Bombyx mori: one gene and its partner. The protein of the gene in region 1 interacts with the protein of each later gene in a biochemical or structural test. Links are inferred from orthologs where the notes say so. Each region holds a gene or a part of one and is shown on either strand. Other genes may lie near its edges. The genes, in order: elongation factor-like GTPase 1 and ribosome maturation protein SBDS.

The links.
Region 2: the proteins of elongation factor-like GTPase 1 (region 1) and ribosome maturation protein SBDS interact in a biophysical measurement, tested with the Homo sapiens proteins (2 studies listed by BioGRID and IntAct, with this or other methods). The link is inferred for Bombyx mori from reciprocal best matches to the Homo sapiens genes EFL1 and SBDS.

Annotation. Positions count from the first base shown.
Region 1 is NC_085127.1:6,787,091-6,790,922, reverse strand, and holds part of elongation factor-like GTPase 1, read right to left. Parts: coding exon 3,473-3,832; intron 2,511-3,472; coding exon 2,437-2,510; intron 1,902-2,436; coding exon 1,746-1,901; intron 1,599-1,745; coding exon 1,481-1,598; intron 1-1,480. UniProt on the Homo sapiens protein: GTPase involved in the biogenesis of the 60S ribosomal subunit and translational activation of ribosomes.
Region 2 is NC_085116.1:4,483,477-4,487,905, forward strand, and holds ribosome maturation protein SBDS, read left to right. Parts: upstream 1-1,540; 5' UTR 1,541-1,614; coding exon 1,615-1,745; intron 1,746-3,123; coding exon 3,124-3,748; 3' UTR 3,749-3,791; downstream 3,792-4,429. UniProt on the Homo sapiens protein: Required for the assembly of mature ribosomes and ribosome biogenesis.

The DNA of each region.
Region 1 (3,832 bases):
GGAATGGCTTATTTGGAGCCGACGAGCGACAATCCGCTGGTTGAGCTCTTCTTGCAATAGGGCTACGATTTGTGCTACTTCTGTAGGTGTTGTCCCAATTGTCGTACAAGGTAAAGGGTCAAAAGTAGCCGAGATATGTACCAGTCAACGTGTGAAAGTCGACTGATAAAGAAAATCTGATAACAGGTGCTTTTATAGGGGTCAGTAGGCCGCAACTCGCGACGTATCAAGCAATTGAAACACGTCTTTTTCGTTATTCCTTCACTTAATCCAAGATAACTTCTTAAATACTGGCTTGATTTTAATGAATTTGGTATCAGTTTAAAGTTAGGAATTCAACCTTTAAAATGATCTCATTTTTATGATTATCAAAAAAATATTTAGTACACAAGATCGCGCGGAATCAATTTCAAGTAAGTGATTCCAAACTTTTGCTCGCGAGTGTATTAGTATCGACTACCACATAGAACATTTTACCAATGTTTGATCACTTTCAAGAATTATAATTTATTTAGTACTACAAATCACTAACAAACAATCAATTGCGAGCATCTATGAGCACCCTAGTTTTTATTACTATCATTGAGCTCATGGCCAAATTGAATTTCACTGGTAATAGCCCGCACGGCTGGTTACTACTATTCTGTCTATTTTTACCGCTGTACAATACAATTCAGACTTCGGCCTCATATTGCCCGGGCTTTGTGTGCCGAAAAGACAAAGAGGCGAAAGCGTAAAGCATTCTTGCACGTTATTTAAAAAAAAAAGGTGAACGTGAAAACATTCAAGCTTATTTTTCGGTGTGTAGTTTGTGGTTTTCTTCATTTTTCATCCTTAAATCTAATTTCTCTTGTAATACGGAATGCTGTGTATAGGTGAAATGACCTAGCTCGCTTTGTCATTTCCCCCTCTCCATGGTCTAGTGGTTCGGGAGACACTCTGCAGCTAAATACGATAACGCTAAATTGTATCTTTTCTCTATAGCCGTAACGAATCTGTCGCTAGTTATATTTTAGTCTCAACGTGCCTAGAAATAACTTGTTGCCGGTATTCGATGATTACCGAACGAGTCTTTAGGTTGTACTTAATATTATATTAATTGATAATTTAAAATATTACTTTTATTTAAAATGCCACTAGCTCTCTGTATATAATTTAGGAATTAAACAATTCACACCGGTGGCATCGCAATATAGTAGTTTATACGAAATCCAATAGATGTCGCTAAAATAAATATAGTACAAGATAGTATGCTACTGCCATCTACAGAAGCAATAAGAAACTAATAATAAGACATCTAGTGGCCGAAGCCCGTAAACAGTGACTCGCGAGACGCTCTGTCTATTTTCTCAGTCTCGCTCTTCCTAAATTGTATATTTTCTTTCTAGCCGTAACGAATCTGTTGCTATTTAAATTTTACTCTCAATGCGCCCAAAGAAGTTTCACTTAAAAAAATTAAAAAATAACCCCAATAATATACCTTAAATCTTCTAAGCATCTTTCAAGATGAACTTCCCCGGCGGTGACTAGTACATGCTCTCCAGTCTCTTGTAATAAAACTTGTACGCACGAATCAGATTGATTTAACAGTTTTAAACCTGAAAGGAGAATTTGATCACAAGTTAAACTTAGTATTTGCTACAAACTGAGTTTTTAAAGTAATTTGTTTTAAAACACAAATATACCCAGAATTTTGATCGGATTAAAACAAAAAAAAAGTCACTTTTCAATTATTCAATTCTTACCTTTTACTAGTTGAGGCAACTGTGACGGATTAGTAGGCTCTATCGCTACTCTTAAAATAGGTACCACTGAGTATTGCATCTCGCTAAAAGCCGGACAAGCTACTGTGCTGCTCAGAGTTGCCGTCTTTAGTACATGCTCCTCTAGGCCGCCGATTCCTGTAATTTATTTTTAAATTTAACAACAAAGAAATCATATTCGGACGTATGATTACTATTATTATTAGTCGTCACGGGGACTTAAGCATGTACACAGTGCAAGAGAGATTCAGTAGTCACAGAGATCAATTATTAGTTCGCCGTGAGTGAAAGCAATGTTCATTAGGATTTTTATAGTGTTTGGTTACGGGCAACGTAAAAATCATGAGTATATTTAATTCATTGATCGCGATATTTTTAGCGGTTTAGGGATAGGTACTACAGAATTGAGAAAACGCGGGTTTATGGAATTTGAATTATAAATATATGAGAACTATTGATATTCAGTTTAGTAAATTAATAATATTTTCCGTTCTCTTCAAGGTAGTGGATTGTTTTAGTGCCTTGGACAATGGTCTGTAAATAGCCTTATAGCTATGATTATAGAACATCAATATCGACACTTAAATTAACAGATTTAGAAGCAAGCAGACATTTGTCTGCATATAGACTCTAATGTACGTTTTTTTTTCAAAATTCAAATATCGAACCTCACCAATAATGTTACCAGCAACAGCTTCATCGATGTCTTCTAGTTCTCTTCCCATCAAAATGTATAATGATTTGATTCTGAAAGTTAATTCAAATACTGGCTTATTTAAAAAAAAACTACTTTCATTTAAAAATCATATAATATGATGAATATTTTAAATGGTAATCAAGCTTGACAAAGCTTGGATGACTATTCAAGATCATTCAGTCTAATAACTTGTCATACTGTAGTTAAAAGGACTAATCTATAATGCACAAATAACAGCATCAGTAATCATTGCATTTACAAAATTAGGATAAAAAATATTGGAGTTTAATTTAATTTCCATTTTTTAATTTATATTCTGATGATATCTGATAAAATCGATATTATAATTTGGCAAGGCTGGCCGTAATCTGCTTTAGGGAAAAAACAAAACTCAACAAATCAGAGGTATCAACCTGGTACATTGAAATAAGCTTCCAGTAAAAAGCAAATACTTTATCCCTCTAACATGGACTGTAATAGGGACTTATATTCCATATTAGTTTATGTTTCGAATTTGTTAGGATTATTTAAAATAAGTTTATTTTCTTTTCAGTCAATTCGTTTAGTAATGATGTTATTAACCATTATAACATAATTAATTAGTAGCCTTCTAAACATGGTGGCGGGTTTCAAACACTAGGAAAGATAATTAGAAATACCATAGCCATTAAAATGCTGACGTGTCAGTAAGATAACGAAATGTATCCACTGTTTACTAAAATATTTACTAACAATTTTTAATATGTAAATTTTAAATTGTTGCTTAACTCTGCAACAAATTTGAATAATATTAAAGCAGTTTCTTTCAAATCAAGTCTAATTAGTGGTGGGGCACATTGTAAGCCTTCAGGACTAAGCATCATCCTCCTGCCTATTTCAGTCATGTATTTCCGGTTTGAGGAGTCCGCTATACTGTAAAAATGAGACTTAGATCTCTCAAGGTCATTTTGAGATGTCTAATGACTCCAGTTAGTGCTTATACAGAGATAATAGAAAACTTTAACATGCTTACTCTGCACAAGTTATGTGTTCATCGCTTTGTAAATCTTTTAACTTTTTATTTGTATCTATTTTAATGTTACAATTAAGAATTTTAGAGGGATCATGCTTGGGGCCTAAGACATATACTCTATCACCTTTCTTAACTTTCCCACTAAAAATTCTAGCAAAAGCAATAAATGTCACTTTTTCTTTTTCATTCTCATCTTCAGCACTTTTCTCTTGTTCCTCATGTGGTGACTTTTCTTCTGATTGCCTATTTATATTAGCGTTATTCTGTTTTAACTCTTCACGCAATTGCCTTGCTTTTTCTCTTCTTAAAGCCATTTCTTCGGAAGTCAATGCTTTAGGCCTATTTTCTGGTAGAGCACTT
Region 2 (4,429 bases), on another chromosome or scaffold:
AAATAAATACTTTTTATTCGGAAATAAAAAACAACCTAAAACGTCCTTAAGTACGGAGAGCTATGGGACGACTGAAATCATTAAGTAACTAAATGCGATTACACCTTCCTAAAAGCGTTTTCTAATAAGGCTTCTAAATGATTTAGTCAGTCAGAAACCATCCTTGCTACTGAATTTAGTAGGCTAGCTTACTGAATGCTATTACCCTTCACTGAATTCAGTAGCGACTGAATTTAGCCAAGCGTAATAAGCCTTTAAGAAAAACACTTCTTAATGAGGGTAATACCCATGGAGTTAATAAGTACCTATATCTCAAATATTGGGTGTATTATCTATGAAGATATTTAGACTTTATAGAATTTAGGACTTTTTGCATTCCCGATCCTGCGGAAAGAATGGAAAGCAGCCGATGTCGCCCAAAACATGTCATCTCGGATCCTCCCGATCCACTAATGGTGCTTTTAGGTACCTCAAGCACCGGTCACCGTTCTCGTCGAACCCGTCGCTTGCGACGAAGGGCTCGACGAGTACATTAACCCTCAGACACAGCCCACTGAGTTTCTCGCCGGATCTTCTCAGTGGGTCGCGTTTCCGATCCGGTGGTAGATTCTGCGAAGCACGGCTCTTGCTAGGATTCGTGTTAGCAACGTCGTCAGGTTTGAGCTCCGTGAGCTCACCTACTAGTTAAGGTTACGCTGGAATAGCCTCTCAGGGCTACCAGCTTAGGTGAGAAAAAAAAAGGACTTTTTGGCGGGAACGCGAGGAGTGAAGTTGTGTGATTTGTTTTATTTTGTCTATTTAGTGTTTTTTCGGGTTTAAATGTGTAATAATGGTGGTTTATTAACTGTTTAATATCTGTGAAAGTGCACAAATGTGGGAAAATGAAACAAAGCCGCTGGACGTAACTTCGCAGGATCCTCCAAAAAGTCCACTGAAAAAATCTTAGTAAATGACCACCATTTTATTGAGATTATATTTCATCCCATTTCATTTCATCCCATCCCAGTTGATTAATGTTTCAAAGTAATCATTTTCATTTCATTTCACTCCATAATATCATTTTTCATAAAAATATGAATATAAATTAAAATAAGACATGACCTAAAGGTCTCAGTTACCAGTTCATAAAATCCCTTAAAAAAATTATAGAATTTAGGACTTTTTGGCGGGAATGCGAGGAGTGAAGTTGTGTGATTTGTTTTATTTTGTCTATTTAGTGTTTCTTCAGATTTAAATGTGTAATAACGGTGGTTTATTAACTTTTTAATATCTGTGAAAGTGCACAAATGTCGGAAAATGAAAGAAATCCGCTGAACGTTACTTCTCGGGAGCCTCCAAAAAGTCCACTGAAAAAAATCTTAGTAAATGACCACCATTTTACTGAGATTACATTTCATCCCGTATCATCTCATTTCATTTAATTTCATCCCAGTTGATTAATGTCTCAAATTAATCATCTTCATTTCATTTCACTCCATAATATCATTTTTCATAAAAATATGAATATAAATTAAAATAAGACATGACTTAAAGGTCCTAGTTACCAGGTCATAAAATCCCTTAAAAAAATTGAGAATTTAAAGCCGAAGCAATAGAATCACTAAATTAAAAACAATGTCTAAAATATTTACACCTACGAATCAAATACGTCTCACAAATGTGGCGATCGTAAGATTAAAGAAAGGCGGAAAGAGGTTTGAAATAGCCTGCTACAAGAACAAAGTGCTGTCTTGGCGAAATAAACTGTAAGATCAACAATACTTAAATATGTTTTTACATTCACCTTCGATAGTGAGAAACACACCAGTTTACTTTTCTACTTTCTCAATTATTTCGTAAGATTCGTTTAAGAAAATATTATATAAATTGAAACAAGGAACACGCGCGAGACCATAGACATGAAAAAACGCAGAAGTTAGATGAGAAAATTTATCAAATAACACCCCTAATTTGTAATAATTACCTATCATCAGACTTCAAGAGTACTGTAAGTTCCTCATTTTGTGAAGAAACGTGAACCGCAATATCTTCATAAAGCATCTTCATAAACTATTGAAAATTTTAATTTAGACAGTGGCTTGGCCGTGTCTCCTGCAGTCTTAAAAAACTATGGTGACTACTGACCATTAGGTGGGCTACATACTCTTCTACTTACAAAAGTAATGAAGAATCGGTTGAAAAAAATGATAAAAAAATATAAGTCAAATTCTTCTTTCTATCTTAGAAAATTTATCATAAAACTAGTGATCAATCCATAAAGATGCTATAAATGTAAAATTATTACTTAGACATTTATGTATTATGTTATGTCAATGCTATTTAACATTAATTTATGATTAATATTTAATAATTAAATTAATCAATGATTAATGTTAAATAATTAAATTCATCTATGATTAATGTTAAATAATTAAATCAATCTATGATTAATGTTAAATAACATTGCATCAGTGTTCATTTTGATTGAAAGAAATAGTTGTTACAATAAAGCAGTAAAGTTTTAATTCAAATATGCTTCTGAGATATGCCTTTTTACATGATGTTTCAAGAAAGCTCTCCACAATTATCAATGGTTTTCCTGTACCTCTGGTTCTACTAATGTACCCAAATTTTTTGTAACAACAAAAGCAACTAGGTAGTAAAATAATATTCAATAAACAAATCATCAAAATTAAATAAACAATCCAAAAATACAGATAAGTAAGCAAGGTTATTATTATAAATGAAAGAGATGATTAGCATATTAAACGAATTTCAAACTTATGAAATTTCAATATATTCCTTCCTAATTGCTGTGTAATTTAATATGGCTCGAAATCCATTTTTATTTAAATCCATAAATAAAATTTTCTCCTATTAGATTACAACACGAGTCACCTGGAGAATCAATAAAGAGTAGATTTCAAAACAATTTTAATATAACATCAGATCAAAGTAAAAGCTATTTCGAAAAATGTTTGCCAATACTCACAGCACCTATGTCTTTCATGTTTTTTCTATACTCTTTAGTACTATTACTATTACTGTTACTATTACTGTTACTGTTACTATTACTGTTACTATTACTGTTACTGTTACTATTACTTTTAGAATTCTTTCATTTGATCTTTTTTCTTATTACAGAGAAAAAGACATTGATGAAGTTTTACAGACTCATACCGTCTTTACAAATGTTTCCAAAGGACAAGTTGCAAAGAAAGAAGACTTAATAAAGATTTTTGCCAAAGAAGATCAAACGGAGATATGCAAAGAAATTCTGGAGAAAGGAGAACTACAGGTTTCAGACAAAGAAAGACATTCACAGATAGATTCTTTATTTAAAGATATTGCAACTACTGTAGCTGATAAATGTGTCAATCCAGAAACAAAACGACCATATCCAGTTTCTATAATAGAGAAGGCAATCAAAGATGTCCACTTCTCAGTCAATGTAAACAAAAGTGCAAAACAACAAGCTTTAGATGTGATACAAATATTAAAGAATGAAATACCTATTGAAAGAGCTCAAATGAGAGTAAGGATATTACTCACTGGTAAAGATGCTCGGAAAACTAAGGATAAAGTTGTTAAGCTTGCTACAACAGTGGAAGATGAAAACTGGGAATCTGGAACTGCTAACATTGTGTGTCTTATAGATCCTGGCAACTTTAGAAGTTTGGATGAAATGATAAGAACTGAAACAAAGGGCACAGGGCAATTTGAATTATTGAATTTGAAGGAAATGGTTGAAGGTGACCAAGCACTTTAGTTGTATTGTTGCAATTTTTCTGTATTAAATAATTGTAAACTAATGCCCAAATTAAATTATTTTCTAGGCTGAATTTCATCTATCAGTAGGATAACTTACTTAGTATTCATGTTGTAATGCCCATGGGTTCTGGTAATTAGTTTACATCAGGTGGCCTTTGAACAGGTATGCTCATCAATAACAAAAAAGCCTTTTTAACAAGTGTATAGGTAGTATTCTTACATAACAGATCTCCAGAGTAATCAGAAATTTTGATTTTAATCCAGAAAACTTGGCACAGACAATTCTCGAGATCAAAATCATAAAAGTCTATCCTTTGGAATGCAGTGCAACTTTCTAGAACATTCATGAGGTATGACTCAGTGAGATCTCGATCTCCCAGTTAAATTGAGCTAAATCTTATTCATTAGTGTTGCTTTAGCCGATGAGCTGTCAAGGTGTGATTGTAACATTGACCATGTCATCAATGGTCAGTGACCTTGACGCCTGTGCCTCAAAATTCAGATTTGATTTTTATTTTACTCTGTATACCTACTTGTATATTTAGTATTAAGGGCCAGGCTGTACTTGTTCTTGTCTCGTGTGTTTAGTCAGTACCCATAACCTAGGAGAAAATCGTAGTTAGGGGTTATTGAATTTAGAATGTTTATTTAAAGAGTATTATTATTTAGTGTGTTATTC